2 linked regions of the Caenorhabditis elegans genome follow. The protein of the gene in region 2 interacts with the protein of the main gene of each other region in a biochemical or structural test. Each region holds a gene or a part of one and is shown on either strand. Other genes may lie near its edges.

What was found.
Region 1: of the proteins of nmur-2 (region 2) and capa-1, one has a biochemical effect on the other in vitro, tested with the Caenorhabditis elegans proteins (2 studies listed by BioGRID, with this or other methods).

The regions. Positions count from the first base shown.
Region 1 is NC_003284.9:5,918,137-5,921,242, forward strand, and holds capa-1 (LYMARV-amide), read left to right. Parts: upstream 1-1,623; 5' UTR 1,624-1,629; coding exon 1,630-1,699; intron 1,700-1,827; coding exon 1,828-1,921; intron 1,922-1,984; coding exon 1,985-2,081; 3' UTR 2,082-2,358; downstream 2,359-3,106. UniProt on the Caenorhabditis elegans protein: Encodes at least three neuropeptides: two of the periviscerokinin family (APHPSSALLVPYPRV-amide and LYMARV-amide) and one pyrokinin (AFFYTPRI-amide).
Region 2 is NC_003280.10:122,561-126,812, reverse strand, and holds nmur-2 (Neuromedin U receptor homolog nmur-2), read left to right. Parts: upstream 1-1,808; 5' UTR 1,809-1,810; coding exon 1,811-1,891; intron 1,892-1,938; coding exon 1,939-2,107; intron 2,108-2,150; coding exon 2,151-2,307; intron 2,308-2,463; coding exon 2,464-2,629; intron 2,630-2,674; coding exon 2,675-2,921; intron 2,922-2,973; coding exon 2,974-3,262; intron 3,263-3,312; coding exon 3,313-3,415; 3' UTR 3,416-3,543; downstream 3,544-4,252. UniProt on the Caenorhabditis elegans protein: Putative G protein-coupled receptor for pyrokinin-like neuropeptide derived from the processing of the neuropeptide precursor capa-1.

The sequences.
Region 1 (3,106 bases), on a different chromosome or scaffold from region 2:
GGCACATATTGTTGGCACAACCTTTTTAAAATCATTGGTGGACCTACAAAGTGATGTCCAAATATGAAAATAAAGACGAGAAACGAAACGAACTAATAATACCCGCGGCTTAATTTGAGGACAACAAACGACAGCTTCTCCATGTTTTTTGCAAAGTTGATCCTTGGAGGGCAATTTTGACAACACGTGCTGTAAAAATTTGCGGATACCAAGCCTACAGTTGATTTGTGATGTACCAATTATGAGCACGATAAATCGCGAGCCAAAACGACCACTGTTCACATTTCTGTATTTTGAGAGTTGCGATAGGCGCATTGTGCGCAATGTTGGTGGGCATGGCGGTACTTTCACAATGCTGTTGCTGCGAGGCTCTGACTCTCACGAATATTTAGTTTTGCTTTGTTTTTACGTTCGTTATATCCTTGGAATGTCATTCTCGTACCTGAAACCACCTGGAAACTGTTTTCGTTTACGCATTCTTAACCCGGAAATGTGTTTCTCGCCAAAACACAAGTTCAGCTGCAAAAATAAACTTTTTCGAGTGAATCAGGAATTTCAGAAGTTTATCAGAGACTTGTTTTTACAAAATCTACACATGTGACTGGAATTTTCAAACGTTTGAGGTAAATATTTTCAGTTTATGATGAATACGTAACTGAGATAAATTAAATAAATAATCTTTAAGTTCACAGTCTGAATAGTCTGCAAAACCGGACACTCAAACTCTAACAATTGTTTAATTTGCCTGTCAAGGCAATTCTAATCACTCAAAAAGTGCAAGAAGCGCACTTGTTCCCTAAAGAATGCTTCTAATCCCTTTGTACGAATTTGTACTGTCAACGAACTGTGTGGTGGAATGAGGAAGACGCAGCAAATAATCCATTGACAAACTGGGCGGGTCCGTCAAATCCGTGTGGCAAACAACTGACAGTCTAACTAACTGTTGCTGCTCATTTTCAATCAGTGCGAGCTGGCCTCCTTCCGTCGTCTACATTTCTTATTGATTATTCGGCATTCTGTTAGGAAGCATCAATGTGTTGTGACCGTTGTTACGGTCAATTTGCAAATTGAAAAAATGACCGTAATCCCGTTCACAATACATTGTTCGTTTTCTCCAAAGGTGATTCATTAAGTAAAAAGGGAATGTGGGTGTGCAAATGTGAATGTTCTGCTGGTTTACAACCGTGGTTTACAACCAGACAGCTAAAAACGCATGCCTGGATATTAGAGAGTGACGACTATATCCATATTTATTTTGACTATTCCGTCGGCTCGAATTCCTGGTAAGATTTTCTTGTTCACATTTGAATAGGACAAATAGTGATTTCACTCGTTTTTCTTCCTTTTCTGTCTTTTATTAATTTCCTTTTTTTTTGAAAATAGCCGGAATCGTTTTTTTTTGTCGGCCAAGAGGTGAGTAGGTGTAGTACAGCAGGGGTGATAAGCCAAAGCGTCACAAGACCGGTGGCTCCCAGAACGGAAATTAAAAAAGGTGGGACTTTGGGCGGCTTAAAGTGTCACTGGTCTGGACGAGTAGATATTCGACACCCCTCTTGCACATATTATTTGTTAGTCTGACTGAGTTTTCTCAGTCATTCAACATAAACTGTTCACATTTCTACAGGAACAATGCTTCTCTGGATCGTCGCCACTTTGCTCATTTTTAGCCTTCCAGTGTCAACGGCTTTAGATTATAATGGTAATTGATTTTTCATCAGTATCACTAAAACATTTTGAGAATCTAACCATGATTTAATAGTAGGTATATAGTATATCAAGTATGTACATGTAATACAATAATCCCTTATAAAAATCTACATCTTTCAGATTTCTCCTTGCAACGAATTGCTCGGGCTCCACATCCATCATCTGCTCTCTTAGTGCCATACCCAAGAGTCGGAAAACGAAGTAACATTTTGAAGTAGGTTCAAGCAAAATGAAAAATACATTTTATGTAAAAAAGTTTTAAAATTTTGTTTTTCAGTAACAATTCCGAATCACAAAACTCTGTCCAAAAGAGACTCTACATGGCGCGTGTTGGAAAACGAGCATTTTTCTACACTCCACGTATTGGGAAATAATGACGAGGATACTCCAGACGGACCGGCTATAACTGACACTTTTCATTTTGATCAATCCTTATTTCCCTCTTTCCCCTTGTTCTTCTGTCACGTTCCTTTCTTTTTTCATGAATGTATGTACACTATATTATCACAACAACACAAATCGACAAAATTTTTTTGACCTTTTCTATTAAATTTTTTTAATTTGAAAGTCTTATTGTGTTTTCTTTTCACTTCCATTTCCTAATATCTTGAACATTTTTCAAATGTGGCAGAATAAAGTGTGCGACGCGTTACCAAAATACACTTTGATTTTTGATCTCACTCGATTTCGAGGAGATCTGTTCCGTTTTTGACGTTTTTTTTTCTGACAACGACAATTAAAAATTGAGAACAAGAAAAACAACATCTCGTGTTTGTTGAATTGATACATTGGGTTTATAACGAAGCACAGATGTATTTTCTGGCGGTATTGCTTTTAGTATGGGAAGATGTTAACGTTCGTGTTTTTTGTCGGTGGATTTTAATCGCTATTTCTCAATTCCAGCTGAAAAATTTTCAACTTTTTTTGTATGTAATGTCAATAACACGTTTTTCTTGTTAGAAAAATAATTATTTTGCAGCTGCCAACTTTGATCACCTATAGTAATTTCCCTATCATTCATAATTACGCTTCCGTTGGTCAAACTTTGCTCGAAAATTATAGATTTAAAGTTTTCAGTAATCAAGTGTTCATAAAATCATGTACGTTCATGCTATTTTGAGACTATTCGAATTTTTTGGAAGTTTTTTTTTTTTTCGAGCCAATGATGTGATTGAAAAGAATTTGTTATTTGTTTGATTCCCCAATGCTTTCATGTCATGTTCGTTTTACAGGAAATCATATGAAAAGTTGTCAGACTTTGTATCTAGTGTTGTCACTTTTTTTATCGCATTTTTTCCTGGAATAACTGTTGTAAGGCATTACATACCGTAGTAAATCGTATGATTTATAAGTTCAATTGTTTAAACATTCATTTGTATTTTTCTTTTGAAAAATGCTT
Region 2 (4,252 bases):
TGCTTTTTGTGTAAATTTTGCAATAATGAAACTTTCTGTTTTATTTTGTAGATATATTCTAAAAGTCTCTAGTATACTCATTTCTGGTCAAAGAAAAAGATGGGAAGGGTCCCAGATGGTCACTAAAAAATTTGAAAAAGTTGTGATGTAGTGCGAATCCTTTTCGCAATGTTGCGGTTTTTTTTAAGTTGAAATTTCTTTCATCCCTATATGTTGATTTTGTTTGAAAACGTGCTTAAACAAAATGGAGGCTAAGAAAAGAAGCTTATTAAAAATTTTAAAAATTTTTTTGTAGCAACTACAATTTTTCTCAAACACCGGGAAGTTTAGTATTTTCTGTTAATTTTTTTCGGGATTGCCCTATTTTCTCATGTATTTTCATGACAATACCGCTAAATACCGCATTTGGATAACTTACTTAGATTTTTTTTTTTTTTTGATTTACCCATCCTGAAGGTTTTTTTGGCAATGAGGTAATTTTTCAAATTGACCTCTTTCTTAGTATTTTAGTACATATTATTGCTGAAAAACTGCGTTACTTTTTTTTGAAATGCTCATTTTTAGCATGCGCTTAATATTGTTGTTTTTTGAAAACTTCCAATATTTCTTTGCAGATCTCCCTTCTTTTTCCGTCGTCTGTTTCAAAATTCCCATATCACAATGCTTCTAGTTTTTATGAGTGTTTTGTGAGAGAAGAATGAGGATTTTCATATTTTTGGACTCCTGCTGTGTTTTCATGAAGAATTTTTTTGATCGAGTTTATAGAAAATAAAATGATTTTTTTTGCAAATTTGATTTTTTTTTAGCTTTTGGATTTTTTCTGAGCACATTGAAATTACAAAACGTATTCTTAATAAAAAATCTTTCGGCTACATTAATTTTTGTTAAATGTTGGAAAAAATTCAAAAATTTGAGTCTCCTGATCAATTTTTAAATTTAGCCGGCTATCTCTATACATGGAAAAATTCCAAAAAAAAAATCAAACAAATTCGTGAAAAAAGCTACTTCCTAGCAAAAATCATCAATTCCTATAGAATAGCCAACAAATCTAATGAATTAGAGATGACGACGGAAAGAAGGTGTTTATTAGTTATATGACCATGAAAAATTGGTTTTTTTTCCTGTCTTGACTCCCGGAATTATTATTGGGAAAACAGACCAAAACAGGACAAACTTCCTGAATTTAGATAAATTTAAAATTCCTCAACAAAATCTTTCAAAATTTGTTTGTGTTAGGATAGCAACAAAAATTGTACAAGTATAAACTTGAATACTATTCACTATTTTTCCACACCCCAACTGATCATCTAAAACTGCAATAGGAAAGTTTGGACTCTATTGAACTAAAATGATTAATTGAATTCACACGCTAGGACCCCTCATCTACTTAAATGTAACTTTGTTTTTTTTTTCTAGAAAAAAAGACGAAATCCACAAGAAAAACAAATAGAAAGAGTAAAGTTTGTTGAGGATGAGCTTTCGTGGTGATTGGAATTTTTTGTGGCACAAAATATTTTGTAAAGTTTGTTAGAAAACATGCAAGAATGAGTTCCAAGAAAATATGAGATTGAAATTTTTGTGTTGTGCGCAGTTAGATGAGAGAAAATACCCAAATGCCATATAATCTAAAATGTAAAAAAAACTACTTTTCATCTGAATTCAGAATTGAATTATATTTTCACCTGCTAATTTTTAACTATTAGCCAAACTGATTCCAAAATTCCTTTTTTTTTTCAAAAATTTACTTTTGTCTTCACTACTATCTGGTTAAATAATAGTTAATTTTTTCTAACGTATTCAAAAATTCTAGATGTCCCAATGCACAGTGGAATACAATGTGTCTGAAATCACTGAATATGTATTGTCTACTCTAGGTGAACGGTGCCAATCGGTAAGCTTCAACCTTTAAATGTTTTATATTTACTTTAGTTTTTACAGGCAGGAATAGTAATTCCAACAGTCATTATTTATGGAACTATTTTTCTACTTGGATTATTCGGAAATATTTGCACATGTATCGTAATTGCAGCAAACAAATCTATGCACAATCCAACAAATTACTATTTATTCAGTTTGGCGGTTTCAGATATTATTGCCTTGATATTAGGTGATTTTTCTCTGACTCAAAAGTTTCACGCAAAATGTTTTAGGGCTCCCCATGGAGTTCTACCAATCCCTTGATTACTCATATCCATATCGATTCAGTGAGGGAATTTGTAAAGCTCGGGCTTTTCTCATTGAGTTCACTTCATATGCATCAATAATGATTATTTGTTGTTTTTCATTTGAGCGGTGGCTGGCAATTTGGTAAGCATTTGGTAAAATTTCAAAAAAATTAAATTCAAATTTGGTAAAATTTGGTTCTTTTTTGTATTATTTTTGGAAGAGATTGGAGGATCTTAGGATATCGAATTTGCCGAGAAAAGTTGCTTGTGAAATATGATCAATGTAAACTAGTTTCAGCCATCCACTTCGTTCAAAAATATTCTCAACTCTCTGGAGAGCCAATGTTCTTATTATTCTTGCTTGGACTATTTCATTCGTTTGCGCTCTACCAATTGCATTCATAGTTCAAATCAACAAACTCCCCCTTCCAGAAGACGCAAAATATCAACCATGGACTAACAAGGTTAGTTTTTTTGCAGTCGGAGTCCTGAATAATCGAATTTTCCCGGTCTCAACGGATGGAATATTCGTACTTCACACCGAATTCTGTGCAATGAACCAAAGTCGTCCGGATCAACAAAAAATGATTATTATATTTGCATTCACTGTGTTTTTTGTTATTCCAGCGATTGCGATCGTTATTATGTACGCGCATATTGCCGTTCAACTAGAATCATCAGAAATTGACTTGAAAGGAGATAAAATGGTAAAGAAAAGAAGGAACAAAAGCAATAGGACAGTTCTGAAGATGTTGTGTAAGTTCTCAAAGGATATTGATTAGAGCTATAACTTTTACCTTAATTTTAGTATCGGTTGTCATCACATTTTTCATTTGCTGGCTTCCATTCCATATTCAGCGACTTTTATCTGTCTATACGACGTGGTCCGAAACCACGACAATATCACCTCCGGTGCAATTCCTATCTATGATTGTCTTCTACATCTCAGGATTTTGCTATTATTCAAACTCTGCTGCGAACCCAATTCTGTACAACATTCTGTCTCAAAAGTATCGAAGTGCATTTTGTCGGACCATTCTAGGGGACCATATTGCTAATTTTGTGTTTAAAGGTCATCAGAGACCAGGGCAGTCAAAGTAAGTTCGAAGCGTGTTTGACATAAAATACACCCAGCAACAAATTTCAGAAGATGCTCTTCCTCAACAGAAGCCGAACAAAGAACTCTCATGACACGTGGAAGTGTACGTGTAGATAAGCCCCATCGTAAATTGGAAGTACACAACTACTGACATAATGCTAACACACGATTTTATTTTTGCTTTTATTTGACTACATCCTCTATGAAACATATCTTTGAAACCGATTGTTTGATAAAACCGTTTTTGCCTCAAAAATTCAAAAACAAAGTCATTGTGAGTGAAAACTTTCATATTGAAGGTTATCCAAACCAGGGCACTTTGCGAAAAGCCAATTCTCATTCAATTTTTCTACAGCTACAAAAATGTTTATATTCATTATTGCATTGATTGCATTGAATGCTAATCAATATTGTCCCTTAAACTTTCCCTCTCTTAACCAAAACATCAAGTTATGCGAAATCTATTACGTAAAAACTTCTGAGATAGAAGTCATTGCGTTCCAATCATACCATAAAAACTATTGCGCAAAAAGACTAACTTGTCTTTTTTCGTTTCTCGCAAGTCTCATTTGGAACACCGAATAACTAAACTTGATATCTTTGTGACGTAATGATGTGGTCTTGCCTTGTTGCAAAAGCTATCAGATATCAGATAAAACAACTAGAATTTTAATGCTTATTAAATTTTATTAATTTTATTGCCCACATGTTTTTCTTTGATCATTTTCAAAATCCGAAGCTTCAATTTATTTTACTGACAGTCATACACTATTTCTCCTTCCGTTCATTATTTGCCGTGATGGTTTTGTGTCTATCAATATGTACATAACGTTTGGAGGAAGACACATACAAACACACTAATGAATATAAACGTAGAGAATGAGAGAGACGTACACCTTATCATTACTCGATCACCCTTTTTACCTTTTACATATGCATATGGTTATCAAATGTTGCTGTGAAAATACAAGTGATGTAGGGATGAGAG